Linked DNA regions of Arabidopsis thaliana. The protein of the gene in region 1 interacts with the protein of each later gene in a pairwise test. Each region holds a gene or a part of one and is shown in the gene's direction. Other genes may lie near its edges.

Region 1 (5,825 bases):
TTGTGATCAAATTCTTTTCTACTTGAGCTCATTTCAGTATGTATATTCTGCAGCCGTGTTTTAGGGGCTTCATCTTTGTTACTTGTCTTTTCCTACCCACTTATGAAGAGGTTTACATTTTGGGTAATTTAAATCTATTCTGGCTTCTCAAAGTTAGACATTATATATTTTCTGATTTTCTTATGATTGATTCGTTTTTATAATTGCAGCCTCAAGCCTTTTTAGGTTTGACCATAAACTGGGGAGCATTGTTAGGATGGACTGCAGTTAAAGGAAGCATAGCACCATCTATTGTACTCCCTCTCTATCTCTCCGGAGTCTGCTGGACCCTTGTTTATGATACTATTTATGCACATCAGGTATATTCACTTTTTATTTTTTAGCTTCAAAATCTATTTGATTATGACCAGTAGCAAAGTAGTTAATCTCAATGTGTGCATATTGCTTGCTTTGTTTTCTTTTTCTAGCTTCACCACCACAGATTTCTTTTTCAGCTTTTGTTTCATGTCTCATGCAAATGCATCCATTTCGATGTTCGACTTTTGTCAATCATAAAGAAGAAAATTACCCTGATCTCCCACCTTTTCCATCTGATTTCTATACTTTAAGTGAAGAGTTAGCCCCATAAAAGTCTTCCCGTTTGCAACAGAAGTGAGAAAAGAAAGTTACCTTTGTGGCCCATTGAAAATGAAATAGTATATGCCACAAGCTACGAACCCAAAATTTCAGCTCAAGTTCAGTTTTTATGCAAGTAATTTTGAGATATTCTAGGTTAAATCATTTTTTTTCCATGGACTAATGTCTAATATATTGTGTCTCCAGGACAAAGAAGATGATGTAAAAGTTGGTGTTAAGTCAACAGCCCTTAGATTCGGTGATAATACAAAGCTTTGGTTAACTGGATTTGGCACAGCATCCATAGGTTTTCTTGCACTTTCTGGATTCAGTGCAGATCTCGGTACTCAATAAACTTTACAAGGACTCATTTGTGATTCCTAATTCCATTTACTGTCTTTTGATTCTTTTTGTTTCTCGCTCTAATGATTAAGGGTGGCAATATTACGCATCACTGGCCGCTGCATCAGGACAGTTAGGATGGCAAATAGGGACAGCTGACTTATCATCTGGTGCTGACTGCAGTAGAAAGTATGAAAATTTGGGTTTATCTTTTGTACTCTTTCACAATCCAATTATGTGATTTGCCTTGGAAAACCTAATAGTGTTTTTATATCTGTACAGATTTGTGTCGAACAAGTGGTTTGGTGCTATTATATTTAGTGGAGTTGTACTTGGAAGAAGTTTTCAATAAAGACTCTCTCTCTGTCAACGAATGAGGATGAAGCTGTAGTGTGAGGAACCTATATATGAAGAATTGAAGTAGACTTTTGAGACACACTGTAAGTGAAACAGAGGACATGGTCTTGCTACAAAGTGGGTCTCCTTCAGGATTGAAATGATCAAGGAGCCATTGCCAGAAAAGCTGAAACTTAACTCTTTTAGATTAGTGACTAGTTACTACTGGTTCTTGTAAAAGAAGCTATTGTTGTTGTTTGGGATCCATGTCTTTTCTTCCAGGAGGTAGTTTGGCTGTATGTATACAATGATCATGACCTTCTGGTCAAACAAGAGGCTTTACTTTTGGCTTTTATAGTTGACATACGCAATATCATTGATTTTGTAACCTAAAGGATGTTAATAACTTTTCCTTTTTCAATCTCAAATTGCAAAAGATTAACATTGAATTAGCCGTGTGATTGATTGGAGAAGTGGAAACAACTAATATGCAGAAGATTTCCACATCCACTAATTTATCTTCCAATGGGACAAATACTTTTGTTTATACGCGGTTCAACTACGTACCAATAAAAACACGCCACGTGGTCATCGTGTCTGATCTCAGACATTAAAAAGCCATAAGAATCGGAGATACAATCTTTCTCTCTCGATTGACTTTATTGACTGAGAGAAAGCTTTTGACAATGGGCCACAGACACAGCAAGTCCAAATCCTCCGATCCGCCACCGTCCTCCTCCTCCTCTTCCTCCGGCAACGTAGTCCACCATGTTAAACCTGCCGGAGAACGCCGCGGATCATCCGGTTCCGGAACCGTCGGATCGTCAGGCTCCGGAACAGGCGGATCTCGTTCCACCACATCTACTCAGCAGAATGGTCGGATCTTAGGTCGGCCGATGGAGGAAGTACGGAGAACCTATGAGTTTGGTCGTGAGCTTGGTCGTGGCCAGTTTGGTGTCACGTACCTCGTAACTCACAAAGAGACGAAACAACAGGTCGCTTGCAAGTCAATCCCTACGCGCCGCCTTGTTCACAAAGACGACATTGAAGATGTTCGCCGTGAAGTCCAGATTATGCACCATCTCAGCGGTCACCGGTAAATCTCTTTTTTTGTATCTCACTGGAAAATGCTTCTTTGACATTTTCCGAAATCGAATCTGAAACGCCTTTTGTTGGAATATTGGTGAATATTTAGACATAGGATTCGTTTTCTATATTAATGAATGGTTTGCATCATATGTGGATGAAAAGTTTGGTGGTCCTATGTTAAACTCTTGAAAAAGTTTCCCTTTTTGCATATTTATATTTACCTGAGTTTCAAATTGGTGAGTTGATTATAGGAACATAGTGGACTTGAAGGGAGCCTACGAGGACAGACACTCTGTGAATCTGATAATGGAGTTGTGTGAAGGAGGGGAATTGTTCGATAGGATCATTTCTAAAGGTCTTTACTCAGAGAGAGCTGCTGCGGATTTGTGTAGGCAGATGGTGATGGTTGTGCATAGTTGTCATTCTATGGGTGTAATGCACCGAGACTTGAAGCCCGAAAACTTTCTCTTTCTTAGTAAAGATGAGAACTCACCATTGAAAGCTACAGACTTTGGTCTCTCTGTCTTCTTCAAGCCAGGTTTGAACAGCCTCTATCCTTCCCTATTTGATTTCTATAGACAATTTATCCCTCTAATGAAGTTGATCCATTAATGCAGGTGATAAGTTTAAGGATCTTGTTGGAAGTGCATACTATGTTGCCCCAGAAGTTCTAAAACGGAACTATGGACCAGAGGCTGATATCTGGAGTGCTGGTGTGATTCTATACATCCTTCTCAGTGGTGTTCCGCCTTTCTGGGGAGGTATTGTCTTGATCTTATTTGAGAAGAGAATTTGGTTTCACTGTTTAAATGTTGGACTGGAATGTATAGTCACGTTCTTTCTGTTGTGCAGAAAATGAAACGGGGATCTTTGATGCCATTCTTCAAGGGCAACTTGATTTTTCAGCTGATCCATGGCCAGCACTATCAGATGGTGCCAAAGATCTTGTGAGGAAAATGTTAAAATATGACCCTAAAGATCGGCTTACAGCTGCGGAAGTGCTAAGTAAGACCCCTTTATAACATGTTTTGATGAATAAATTGATGAAAACACCTTCTTTTATCCAATTTTAATAACGTTTTGATACATACGCAGATCATCCGTGGATTAGAGAAGATGGGGAGGCATCAGACAAACCGCTTGACAATGCGGTGTTATCCAGGATGAAACAATTCCGGGCGATGAACAAACTAAAAAAAATGGCCCTGAAGGTAATTAAAACACTGATTGAAACAGTCTTACCATCACTATTGTAGTTTATGTAGTCTTCTTGTTCTAAAGCCAATCTTTGGTTTTCGTTTTGCAATTTCAGGTTATCGCTGAGAACCTTTCTGAAGAAGAAATCATTGGTCTTAAAGAGATGTTCAAATCTCTAGACACTGATAACAATGGAATAGTCACCTTGGAGGAATTGAGAACCGGTCTCCCAAAACTTGGTTCAAAGATCTCTGAAGCTGAAATAAGGCAGTTAATGGAAGCAGTAAGTCTATCACAATCCACTACTTTGATGTCAAAGCAATAATGCTTATGATGCTTTGTTTCTTTTAGGCTGATATGGATGGAGATGGATCAATTGATTACTTGGAGTTTATATCAGCCACAATGCATATGAACAGAATCGAACGTGAGGATCACTTGTACACCGCATTCCAGTTCTTTGACAATGACAACAGCGGGTAAAACATTGTTCTTTAGCTCTCTATTTCTTTCTTTAACAAGCTATAAATAAAGTCTCACTCTTTGATCTTGATTTGTGATATTAGCTACATAACAATGGAAGAGCTAGAGCTAGCCATGAAGAAATACAACATGGGTGATGATAAATCCATCAAAGAGATCATTGCTGAAGTAGACACCGATCGTGTAAGTATACGTAAATCTCTGGTTTCGTCCAATTCATACATCTGTAAGTATACGTGTAAGTTTAACACTCTCTTCTCATCTTTGTATTCGAATCTTTAGGACGGAAAAATCAACTACGAAGAATTTGTAGCGATGATGAAGAAGGGAAATCCAGAATTGGTGCCAAACCGACGCAGAATGTGAGAGATCTTTTGATGTTGTTTGTTTGTTTTTGGTTATCACTTTACTCAAACTTTGTGTTTCTGTTACAATCAATTATTTTGTTTCCTGCAATCTCTTTTTATCAACACAACATAAAAAATACTTTGAGATCAGAAAGCCATTTGCAGGTTTGGTTAATGACTTATGAGAGATTCAATATATAATAATTACAGGTTGATTCTTGCATGATTTGAAGCTGAAATTCACTTAAAAAATTATAGAATGATAATCTTAACCCTTACAAACAAATTTGAGATTATATCTAATCAAGGCAATAAAAAAATAAGCAAGGTGCAGTAGGAGGGATTAGAAGTTTCAAATCCGATTTTTATACATGAAAAATGACGAAATCTAATAATCTTGGTGACATTTTCTCACAGAGAAATCGGACAACTAAAATGAGTAAAAAAAATTAAAAGAACGAATAAAAAATCAACTGAGATATATATAAAAAAAAAACTGGAAGAAGAAGAAGGACCGCGAGCTTTGGATCGAATTTGTTAAATTTTTCTTCTCTCGATAATAAAAACAACAAATGATCGTTGATCGTTTTTCTCTAGATTCGATTCCGATTCCAAAGAACTAGTCTCCGGCGTGTAATCTCTGATCGTTGAAGATCCAAGCTACGCCGCATCTTACTCGCCGGCGGCTTGAATCATGGTATGTCGCTCCCTTCTCTCGACCGATACGTCGGAAATCTTAAACCCCTAGATTCCTTATTGCTACTCCTGCGGAATTACAATTGTTGTACTGTGATGATGTGAATAGAAATGGTGAGAGAATTCTGAAAATGAATGATGCCAATATTCATTGAATTTAGCTTCTGATTCTAAATTTTTCAATCAGGATATTCAAATCCAACTCAATATCACTCTTGAAAGTAAAATTACTGTTAGCGATTCGTTTTAATGCATCTCTGAGCTTATGTTTTGATTTGTAAGCTCTCGAAGTTTAAGCTTCTTGTGATAGCTTATGAGCCATTCATTGATAATCTATCCAAACGTTAAAATGTTCGGCAATATCTGTTTATATATGTGTGTAGTTTTGACCAGCGTGGTGTTATAAGTTTGTTGTTGTCTTCTATTGAATCAGGCTGATAGGAGAAACAGGTGTAACCAGATCCTCCTTTTAGCATACCAGAGTTTTGGCTTAGTGTTTGGAGATTTGAGTATTTCTCCTCTCTATGTGTATAAATGTACATTCTACGGAGGATTGAGACATCACCAAACAGAAGATACGATATTTGGCGCGTTTTCTTTGATATTTTGGACCATCACTCTCCTTTCACTCATCAAGTACATGGTTTTTGTGTTAAGTGCAGATGACAATGGTGAAGGTATGTGCATCGGTTGCTAATTGAGTCTATTTGTTTTCTTCTG
Region 2 (5,869 bases), 4.3 Mb from region 1:
TTTATTGAATATATAAAAGAAGAGAATTTTGAAGTTGAATTTTGCTTTGCAGCTTCAAGGTTCACAAGAATCACTTACCTACCAAGAAAGGAGTTAAGACTTTTGTGAGGATTGCTAGTCTTGGACACGCGTTGCACGCTTGGCTTAACGGAGAATACCTTGGTAAGAATTTGTGCAAGAATGATCTACAAGTACTACAACAATGAGCTATAATAATGATATCTTCTTAACAGGAAGTGGACATGGAAGCCACGAAGAGAAGAGTTTTGTTTTCCAAAAACAGGTTACACTAAAAGCAGGAGAGAATCATCTTGTAATGCTTGGTGTTCTCACAGGATTCCCAGTAAGTAATTAACAAACATAATTCAATATCTATAGATGAAGATTTGTTTCGTTAATGTTTGGGATTTTTGGTTCTTACAGGACAGTGGATCTTACATGGAGCATAGATACACCGGTCCTCGTGGTATTTCCATCTTAGGATTGACTTCTGGAACACTTGATCTCACTGAGAGCAGCAAATGGGGAAACAAGGTTTATAAACAATTTCTCCGTTATTGTATTTCAACATTGAGTATGCATTTCCTTCTTCTGATCCGTTTTTTTCGATCATTAGATCGGTATGGAAGGTGAAAAACTTGGAATCCACACTGAGGAAGGTTTAAAGAAGGTCGAATGGAAAAAATTCACCGGAAAAGCACCAGGACTTACATGGTACCAGGTAAGAGACAAAAACAAAAATCAAACTATACAGAGTATGATTGGTATGATATGTAGAAGTTTTCTAAGGAATGTGAAACATTGCAGACATACTTTGATGCACCAGAGAGCGTAAGCGCAGCAACGATTCGCATGCATGGAATGGGAAAAGGGTTGATTTGGGTGAACGGAGAAGGCGTTGGAAGATATTGGCAATCGTTCTTGTCTCCATTAGGTCAACCTACACAAATAGAGTATCACATCCCTAGATCTTTCTTAAAGCCCAAGAAGAACCTTCTTGTTATCTTTGAGGAAGAGCCTAATGTGAAGCCTGAGCTTATGGACTTTGCCATCGTTAACAGAGACACTGTTTGTTCTTACGTTGGAGAAAACTACACTCCAAGTGTTAGACACTGGACTAGGAAGAAAGATCAAGTTCAAGCCATCACAGATAACGTGAGTCTCACGGCTACTCTTAAATGCTCAGGCACTAAGAAGATCGCAGCAGTTGAGTTCGCTAGCTTCGGAAACCCTATTGGTGTTTGTGGAAACTTCACACTTGGTACTTGTAATGCTCCTGTTTCAAAGCAAGTCATCGAGAAGGTAAAATATTATATCTTGTTTCTTCTTGCTATATAGTTTGTACCTTATGATAGGAGTAACCAATAAAAAAAATCTATTGCAGCACTGTTTGGGGAAAGCTGAATGTGTGATTCCGGTGAACAAGAGCACGTTTCAACAAGACAAGAAGGATTCATGTAAGAACGTTGTGAAGATGCTTGCCGTGCAAGTCAAGTGTGGTCGTGGGAAGAAGAACTGAAGAGTGTATATCATCACATTACATATGGTTCATGTATTGTGTTTAGTAGACCAATTTCAAAGTGTTGTGACATCGATTTTTGTCGTTCTGTTTGTATTTGATTTCTTCAATTTAACTCTAATACACGAGTAATATATTCGAATATGATCCAGAAAACATAAATCACCGGAAAAAATAATGGTTTATGTCCATTTTTATTCAATGTTTCCATTTTACAAAATTTAAGGAATGAACATGCACGCTGTTTAACAAATAACTAGCAAACTCGTGTGCCGTTTTTTGTGTAACAAAATGACATGCAAGTCACGTGCCAACAATCGTATCTAAAAAGCCAATGAGGTCCACCGAAAGATGTGGCTGAGGAAAACAGGAGATAACTGACACCGCCCATTCAAATCCCGTTTCTCATTGGGTGGTTTTATCTCTTTGGCCCAAATTTCGGTGTAACCAAAAAAAATCTTCACACACATCCTTGACCATTTTCTTGTTCATCGCTCTCTTTCTTCTTCACAAATCCTAAACGAGTAGGAGCTATGGCTGCACCGATTGTTGATGCGGAGTACTTGAAAGAGATCACTAAGGCTCGCCGTGAGCTCCGTTCTCTCATCGCGAACAAGAACTGTGCTCCTATCATGCTCCGATTGGCGTAAGTTTTCGATTTCCTTGGTTTTTCGTCGAGTTGACTGTTACAGATTTCGTTTATTCATGTGGAGATCGTTCGATTGTAGTTAGGCTGTAGAATCGATTTTGTTTGTTTTTGAATGTTGAAATGTTTGTATCATCTGGTTTTTATGAAGATGGCACGATGCTGGAACCTATGATGCTCAATCGAAGACCGGTGGACCTAATGGCTCTATCAGGAACGAAGAAGAGCACACTCATGGTGCCAACAGTGGTTTGAAGATCGCTCTCGATCTCTGTGGTAGGATTTTGATTTAGTTTTTGTAGATTCACTTTCTGGATAATTTCATGCGATGTATCCGTTTTATGTTGTGGTTTAAGAACACTGTTCAAAATAATTACATTATGCTTTTGGAAATGGACTTTGTATCGCTTAATTATGAGATCCTATCTTTGATGTTTCAGAGGGCGTGAAAGCTAAGCATCCCAAAATCACATACGCAGACCTGTATCAGGTGAGTTAAGGCTGTGAGAGAAATCTTTTTGATGTCCTTGTTGCTTTTTCTGCACATTTGTTTTTCAAAGTTCGCTGGAACTGTATTCGGCTTGTGTCATTACCTCGTCCCAGGTTTGAGCTTGTTGTTTAGGAGACTTAGTTGATAGTTGAGCAGCTGTGTAAATATGGTTTCAGTTGTAATTTGTTTCAGGAGATGTTACTGATTGTGATTTGGTTTACAAAAATCATAGATTGACTATGTTGTTCAACTAGAACTTTTATCTCTTGCAGTAATAGCTAAATTCAAGTAAAATATACACTGAATGAATTCAAACGACCAAGAAGGAAACTGTAATGTAATGTCAATCTGTTTCCATCCTAAGTCACATGTCTGTCGTCTGTACCTATAACCTGTCTCTACGACTGTTTGTATTGCCGTTTCTCCATTTTATATTTGGTCTTACAAGGTCGAGGCTTTATTTATGAATTCCCAATAGAAGTGTACCAGTTTAATGGCAATTAAGTTTTGGGTATGAATTATTTACTTTTAAGTGTTTTGTTTCAGCTTGCTGGTGTGGTAGCAGTTGAGGTTACTGGTGGACCTGACATCGTGTTCGTTCCCGGGAGAAAGGTATACTTTCTCATCTCTTGAGACATTATAACAGCTTATCAGTTTAACACTAAAGCAAACATAATTACTGTATGTTTCTTCTTGATAGGATTCAAATGTCTGCCCCAAGGAAGGAAGACTTCCTGATGCCAAACAAGGTACACTAAATTCTTGTATCAATTATAACAAACTTTTCATGTTTTCTACTGATAATCTTGTTTTGGAATTGGAAGATTTTTTCTATGAATTCACATTGTTTATATCTCTGTAGGTTTCCAACATCTCAGAGATGTCTTCTACCGCATGGGACTATCTGATAAGGATATTGTGGCACTCTCAGGGGGTCATACTCTGGTAAATTCATTGGTCACTTACTTAACTTCCGTTGTTTTTGAACAAATATGCTTGTTGTGCTTATGACCACATTGGGTGTTTAGGGAAGGGCTCACCCGGAGAGGTCAGGCTTTGATGGACCATGGACCCAAGAGCCGCTGAAGTTTGACAACTCCTACTTCGTGTAATTTTCATTTCTTTATCCTCAGAGATTTTCTTTGTGCATTTTTTTAATCTTTTCTGTTTGTGTCTCCAAGAAATAAAAGCAGCAAACAGATACTTTTTTACATGATCGGTTATCCATGATTATTTACTGTTTTGGTACCAGGGAACTGCTGAAAGGAGAATCAGAGGGCTTGTTGAAACTTCCAACTGACAAGACCTTATTGGAAGACCCGGAGTTCCGTCGTCTTGTTGAGCTTTATGCAAAGGTATAATATACTGGAGATCTTCTCTGCCTCTTTGCCATTTGTTTCTTGCGTTGCTATAATAACCATTGGAACATAACTCGATTTCCTTTATTGGTTTCACATTTTCACTGAATCCACAAGCACACACACTGAATCACAAACCAAATTATCTAGGGTTTTGTTCTAGAGAACCCCACGGATCCTTATCGCCTTTATAGTTGCTGATGTTGCAAAATGATAAAATGAACACTCTTACTACTATCAGTGAGAACTGTAATATTAGCTTTTTGTTAGAACCGTAAACAGAAATTCCTATGGTTCTTTATGATTTCCTTGCTTAATTAAGTTTCAATAAGATAAGAAAGTGTTGTTATGTGTTGACAAGTTCAGTTTGTGGTGGCAGGATGAAGATGCATTCTTCAGAGACTACGCGGAATCGCACAAGAAACTCTCTGAGCTTGGTTTCAACCCAAACTCCTCAGCAGGCAAAGCAGTTGCAGACAGCACGATTCTGGCACAGAGTGCGTTCGGGGTTGCAGTTGCTGCTGCGGTTGTGGCATTTGGTTACTTTTACGAGATCCGGAAGAGGATGAAGTAAACGAAATAGGAAGTAAAACACGAAGCAACGATGCTCTTATTTGGGTATTAAAGAAACTATTAATCGTCTATCGAATCTATTTTGCTGCTACAAGATTCTAAACTCTTTGAATCCACGATTCTACTGTTTAGTAGTAAAAAAGTTAAAAAGTCAATATTTTGGGTCCGTGATTCATTTTTGCGATATTTGTTCATTGCAATGTTCGTTTCACTTATTAATTAGTACCAAAGAAAAAGAAAAAAGAAAGAAACAAAGATCGGTCGATATCTACCAAAGTGGGGACATAACCTGAAACTTGACCTAACCTGGTAGTGGTAGGTTTAGTTAGGTAGGAAACTTCTACTAAGAAATTAAAATTAAATTTTTTTTTGCTTTCGTATTTTCATTAAAGAAGATAATATATGATGTTGGTTGCCAGTTACCTAAATATAGGCTCGGGATGACATGTAATGGACGCAAAGTAGCAAATAGCTTTATTCAAGTTGACATAAAAGAATTGTTGTTACGTAAAAGAAGTGTACTGTATTTTAACAGAATGTGAAATCACCTAACAATAACTTATATAAGAAACTAAAAGAAAGAAACGCATGTCTTCTAAATTTGGCAAGAACGAAGGTTTTGTAACTTGTAAGTAGTTTAAATAAATAAACCATACATTTTTAATAATTAGGAAATATATGTTACATGTTGCACTTTGTATACATTCTAAAAGTCGTATAATGTACCTATTTTTTTAAGATTTGTTTGGTGTGTGTGTAGATAACAAATCACATGTCAATTCTATCCCATTTCTATTTTCTTCGTTATTAAATATACAAATATGTCGGTAGGAGTTCAGAGTAAATGTACACCATGAAATCTACCAAACTCTTTTAAGATTGTCTTTCAGGTATCAAACAAACTTTCACCAATAAAGCTTTTTCCCTTTTCCAAATAAAGAACTCCAAACAAGAATAAAAACCACAATCATTATTCGATATGTTTTTATCGATACTTATTTCAAAATATCCCCTTACCTATTTACAAAAGCATTTCACGAATGTTTTTCTTAGAGTCGTCGTATTTTCATATATACTGATATTAGCTTAATTAGCTCGTGATGACAGCAAAATTCTTGAATATTTTGTAGGCCATGGTCTTTGTAACTTGTCAAGAACATAGATACGTCGGATAAATTCATAGATATCAATTCAAATGATAAGCTAGCTTACGAAAAGCGTTTCTCAAGAAACTATGATTTTTTTCTAAGAATTAGTTGGTCGTTACGATAAATAAGAAACCT
Region 3 (5,566 bases), on another chromosome or scaffold:
ACGTGTCAAATTAATTTCTTCTAACTATGCGGTGTCATTATATTACGAATTAGCAAAAAAAGATGAAAAATGCATGTGAGATCTACCTAAGATACTGTTCTAAAATATATACGGTTTTCTTGCGCGATTAGAGATCAACATACGATTAGAGATCGGCGATTAAAGATTTGCTGGAAAATGACTCATATATATTTCCCAATCCTCGCAGATAAAATAAAACGGCACTTTACCGTTTTCTTTAGAAGTTAGTCGAAGACAAGTATTCTAAAAATTCAACAAAAACAAGAAACGAAAAGTAAACTACAAAATGTTAGAAAAGACTCACATGAAACACTCACTGTGCCTCTCTAATCAAATGGAAAAAAGTGGAGAGTTTAAACTTATAAGTATAGTATAGATGATAGAAATCTTCTAAAAACGATACCCGTGAACTAAGTTGATCCTGTGATCTTCATAATCCATACAATTTCAACAGAAAAATACTTTTTTGTGTTTTAAAAAATACTGCGAAAAGCTATATAAATAGTAAGATAAATTGGTTTAAATCCAAAGGTATGATAAAATTCTTTCTCAAAAACGTCATATTTGGTTAGTAGTACTCTTAATCGAGTGGTTCATCAAAATGTATCGGTTTATATATATCAGATCTTGAATAATTTGCAAAAACTCAAAATTTCTTACAACTAATAGCAATATATCATGTATCATATAGCTAGGTAAAAGTAAAATCATACGTTTTAAAAAAACTGTGGTAGGGAATTATATATGAAGCCGTTTATAATAGCATGCATGTGCTTAACATAGCAAAAAACCATATGATTAGTATCGGGGTACATGAAAGAAAAGGGCAGATAAAGCTAGATTAGGATTTGATAACGTACGAGAAAAAATCGAGAAAAAATGTCAACCCTTGGTGGGAGATTTAGGCGAATTTTCTAATCTATCTTCCTCTTATTTTTTTCTTGGTGGCCAATAAAACTAGAGTTTTTAGAGGGTAACGAATCCAAACCCCACACTCACATGCATCGAATCCAATCTGTTTCTCCAACCCATTCATTACCAAAACAGCAGATAAATTTTATAATTCATCAAGTCTACCAATATTAATTATCTTCTCATAATCATAAACTTGGTTCTCTTTATCCAATATTATCTTCTCATAATCATAAACTTGATTCTCAAACATTATTACTAAATCTATTTTTCTTTTCCCCTTCTAATATTCTTTACTTTAACAATACAAATACAACTCCTTTTAAGACTTTTTTTTATAGTAAAGAGTTATACATAACATGTTTGGTAACATAGTAAAATAGCTAATATAATAGACCTTTTCTAAAAATTGTCAAAATACAATAAGTGTAATTGGTGGATAACATGTCTACTTTAAAAAACTTTTTAGAGTATTAAAATTGTCGTCCCATAAACTATATAAATGATCATCATAAATGTATTACAATAACAGCATATCAAGACTTGACGGTTATCAGCCAAAATCATTAAATTTTGGAATTAGATGTTAATAATATACAAGTGTCATGTCGATCTCTTGTTTACATATCCAAACATCTCTATGTGTGACGTGAGTTACTACTTACTAGAATATGGAGTAAGATAATATGGGCTTCCTAAAAGGCCTATACAGAAACAAAGCCCAACAACCTAAAACCCAGTGTGAACGTGAAGGACTTGAAATATTCCAAAGTTGAGTGACTGATGAAACCTTTCACGTGACAGTGACTTGATTTTATTCGTATACGGGCAAAGTTCTTCCATTACTGCAAAAACTCTTCTATTAATGACCAACTTTTCATAAAAGAAAGTACACGTGTCTGTCATTAGATTGGTAGGTACATGGAGACTACACTAAAGTCATTCACATGGGATTCTTTGACCCATTAGGAGCCAAATAAAAATCTTCTCTTTTTAGTCTTTTTTTTCCATCTTAATTAAAATTACGAGATCACGCTTTCTTTTTTAGTACGAGGGATCAGCATCTTAATTAGATCACGAATTAAAATCACATATTTTATACAAATTGCGACTTAACCGGAATACCTTTAGACCGGATAAATTCTTACCAACAACCAATATCTGGAGGTTCAATATGGTTTGGTACCTAATTTTGTACCGGAAATTGCAGAAATCATCGTATTCGAGTGTTGGATTTGCTATGATATTACATTCAAAATTTTGGTACATATTGGTTGATCATGAAAACCGGAAAAGTAAAACCAAACCGGTAGCTTACCGTATTTTGCTAAGTGTTGTCACTTATTAAGATTGGTAATAGAGTACTTATTGTCTGTTCTTCTTCATTCATTACAACAAACTCTTTGAGACCTAAAGAGAGAGAGAGCGATAGTGAGATTTAGATCAACAGATTTGAATCGATTTCTGAAAACATGCAGTACAAGAATCTGGGGAAATCGGGTTTAAAAGTGAGCACGCTCTCGTTCGGAGCGTGGGTTACGTTCGGGAACCAGCTCGATGTGAAAGAAGCGAAATCGATTCTTCAGTGTTGTCGTGATCATGGAGTCAATTTCTTCGATAACGCTGAGGTTTACGCTAATGGTCGCGCTGAGGAGATTATGGGTCAAGCGATTCGTGAACTGGGTTGGCGTCGATCCGATATCGTCATCTCTACCAAGATCTTCTGGGGTGGTCCTGGTCCTAACGATAAGGGTTTATCTAGGAAACATATCGTTGAAGGCACTAAAGCTTCTCTCAAACGACTTGATATGGATTACGTTGATGTGCTCTATTGCCACAGGTGACCAATTTCAGATTTGTTTTTTTATTTAGTGATTTTATTTTTTTTCACTTGGTTCTTTGAAGATCTAGGGTTTTGATATGATCTGATTTGAGTGTAAGGTTTATCTGAATATTTCTGGTGTACTATGTTGTCTGCGCATTTAATTTTCTTACATGTGCTTGCCTTTAGTACAAATTGCTGTTTTTGAATTTATAAAATTTACAATTTGAATCCACTTATGATGTAGCTTAGTGCTGTATAGTGTGGATCTATTTGGTTTCCACTTTTATTTCATATCTGATAATTGGGATCTGCATTTTGCCATACATTGCACAAGATATTTTGGAAAAGTGGCATCTTTGCATTGATCTAAGTGTCACTAGATTCTTTGATTGACATATGTTTATTAAAAATGTTTCCTTTTTTTGTGTGAATTGGGTCATTTATTACAGGCCGGATGCTTCAACTCCTATCGAAGAGACTGTGAGGGCGATGAACTACGTGATTGATAAGGGTTGGGCCTTCTATTGGGGAACCAGTGAATGGTCAGCTCAACAAATTACGGAGGCATGGGGAGCTGCTGACCGGTTGGATTTGGTTGGTCCAATTGTCGAACAGCCAGAATACAACATGTTCGCTAGGCACAAAGTTTGTAATCTGACTCTCTTTTTCTTTAATTTACTTTCATGTTTGCGTCTTATCTTGTACAGTCTTAAGTTGTTGTAGTCTCGTGTTATGTAGCTCAAGTTATGCTCTTCTGTTATGTAGGTTGAGACAGAGTTTCTTCCTCTGTACACCAACCATGGTATAGGTCTCACTACCTGGAGCCCACTTGCATCTGGTGTGCTCACTGGTAAATACAACAAGGGAGCTATTCCCTCAGACAGCCGATTTGCATTGGAGAACTACAAAGTATTCCTTTTTTTTCCTTTTTCTTGTGTATTCTTGGTCATATTTGCTAAGACCTCAATCTGCTTCTGCATCTAACTAATACACTGGTACATGTCTTGGTTTTAATTTCTTTCGCAGAACCTTGCCAATAGATCACTTGTGGATGACGTGCTGAGGAAAGTTAGCGGTCTCAAACCCATTGCAGATGAGCTAGGTGTAACCTTGGCTCAGCTTGCAATCGCATGGTGTGCTTCAAATCCTAATGTGTCATCTGTTATCACTGGTGCCACAAGGGAGTCACAGGTTAGTTCTTGATCGCTTATAAAGCATTAACATAGCGAGTCTCGGTCTAGATTTGGATCCAAGATCTGAAAGATTTTGTTTCTTTTTTTGTACCTTGACAGATTCAAGAAAATATGAAAGCTGTTGATGTGATCCCATTGTTGACCCCTATTGTTCTGGACAAGATTGAGCAAGTGATACAGAGCAAACCAAAACGTCCTGAATCATATAGGTAAAACCAACATCCAAGATCTCTCTTCCCTATTCAATCGTTTACAAAAGAGTGTTGCAGGAAAAAGAAAACATTAGAAGAAGCTCTGTGATGTATGTTGTTGGATGTTGTCTCGTTTTCGCTTTGTTTGTTCTCTTTAGCAGCTTATGCATTTTTAAGACTCAGACAGAGAGAAAGAGAGACTAATGTTTTTTTTTAGTTTTTCTTGTTTCATCATTTAAAAAACGGTCTTATTTGTTACTTGTTAGTGCAACTTAAAGTTTGGTTCTTGTAGTTTGCCATGTCATGACGTCAATATATTGAATAGCTCATCAAACAATTCTGGTTATATCTTAATGTTGTGAAGATTTTAATTTAGTGCAAGGGGGTTGATATGTTATTAATAAAGATTTAATGGAGGTATTTAAAGCTCAACGTGCACAACATAATGTCTCAACTATATACCATGTTTTTAAAAACATACATGCATAGACATCCTACACAATCTTTTTAGGTAAGATCCCAATAAAAATCTAAATTTGGATGATCTGTTTTATTTGGTTAACAAAACTAAGAGATGAGTAAAGAAAATAAAAGAGTTTCTGGAATTGGCTAAAAAAAGAAAGAAATAGATAAAAACGTTCCCTCAAAAACCTCCACATGCAATTTATGAATTTACTATTTGAAAAAAATAAAAATAAGATAAGACAAAATTATTAATAGATTGAAGATGATTTCACCCATGATTCAAGTGCAACGAATAAAATCAAAAATAATTTCAAGAATAAGAAATAAAAAGAGAGAATTTCGAGAGAGAAAGGTTTAGTTTTTATTTTGTTTGGAGTTTGTCACCCACCCGCGTTATTTTGAGAGCGCTTCTCTGCGTCTCTCTTCTCTCTCTCTCTCTCGCAAATCAAAAACCTCAACTTTTGAAAAACTTCAATCTCTAGAAACATTCTTCTCTTTTACCCAAAAATCTCATCTTTTGTTTGTTTGTTATTCTTCTCCTTCATTGTTAATCTCATTGGCCATTTTTCCCTAGGTAATCAAATTCATCTAAAGCTCCAATTTTTCAATTCGATTACACCACATTCGGTGTCATCAATGATCTCGTTGCTTATATATGTATATACAATTGATTTGTGTGATCAACATTTGCAGAAAAAATTGATTTTGAAATTTGTTTCTCGTTGTTGTTGTTGTTGTTGTTATGCAGGGTAATTTCTGGTCTAATTCGTTTGAATGAGACTCTGGTCTTTGTTTGATTTGGTATGATCTTGTAGCAATATACCCTGAAGATGTTTGTTGGAGGTTTGCTGATAGACAAAATTGCTTGTGGCTTGTGAATCTCCATTACCTGTTCGCTGTATTTCCTCAAAGAGCGTAAGAGAATCCTGTATTTTCCTCTCAACATTTTTTGTTTTGAA

The links. Proteins that work in one complex are often made in the same cells at the same time.
Region 2: the proteins of CDPK6 (region 1) and APX3 interact in a protein complementation assay, tested with the Arabidopsis thaliana proteins (one study listed by BioGRID).
Region 3: the proteins of CDPK6 (region 1) and KAB1 interact in a protein complementation assay, tested with the Arabidopsis thaliana proteins (one study listed by BioGRID).

What each region holds. Positions count from the first base shown.
Region 1 is NC_003075.7:12,323,570-12,329,394, reverse strand, and holds CDPK6 (calcium-dependent protein kinase 6), read left to right. Parts: upstream 1-1,743; 5' UTR 1,744-1,979; coding exon 1,980-2,389; intron 2,390-2,633; coding exon 2,634-2,920; intron 2,921-2,999; coding exon 3,000-3,143; intron 3,144-3,234; coding exon 3,235-3,387; intron 3,388-3,477; coding exon 3,478-3,593; intron 3,594-3,694; coding exon 3,695-3,862; intron 3,863-3,930; coding exon 3,931-4,058; intron 4,059-4,145; coding exon 4,146-4,245; intron 4,246-4,344; coding exon 4,345-4,428; 3' UTR 4,429-4,637; downstream 4,638-5,825. Other genes in the region: PPT1 (polyprenyltransferase 1), read left to right, coding at 54-123, 210-359, 468-533, 823-958, 1,050-1,146, 1,240-1,309; TRH1 (Potassium transporter family protein), read left to right, coding at 5,104-5,106, 5,539-5,782. UniProt on the Arabidopsis thaliana protein: May play a role in signal transduction pathways that involve calcium as a second messenger. Functions in abscisic acid (ABA) regulation of guard cell S-type anion- and Ca(2+)-permeable channels and stomatal closure.
Region 2 is NC_003075.7:16,663,725-16,669,593, reverse strand, and holds APX3 (ascorbate peroxidase 3), read left to right. Parts: upstream 1-1,872; 5' UTR 1,873-2,052; coding exon 2,053-2,165; intron 2,166-2,316; coding exon 2,317-2,441; intron 2,442-2,605; coding exon 2,606-2,655; intron 2,656-3,201; coding exon 3,202-3,267; intron 3,268-3,355; coding exon 3,356-3,404; intron 3,405-3,517; coding exon 3,518-3,600; intron 3,601-3,683; coding exon 3,684-3,763; intron 3,764-3,907; coding exon 3,908-4,010; intron 4,011-4,392; coding exon 4,393-4,587; 3' UTR 4,588-4,870; downstream 4,871-5,869. Other genes in the region: BGAL11 (beta-galactosidase 11), read left to right, coding at 53-162, 234-343, 424-534, 617-721, 808-1,302, 1,385-1,519. UniProt on the Arabidopsis thaliana protein: Plays a key role in hydrogen peroxide removal.
Region 3 is NC_003070.9:1,311,257-1,316,822, forward strand, and holds KAB1 (potassium channel beta subunit 1), read left to right. Parts: upstream 1-2,186; 5' UTR 2,187-2,405; coding exon 2,406-2,773; intron 2,774-3,207; coding exon 3,208-3,403; intron 3,404-3,523; coding exon 3,524-3,667; intron 3,668-3,784; coding exon 3,785-3,949; intron 3,950-4,050; coding exon 4,051-4,164; 3' UTR 4,165-4,567; downstream 4,568-5,566. UniProt on the Arabidopsis thaliana protein: Probable accessory potassium channel protein which modulates the activity of the pore-forming alpha subunit.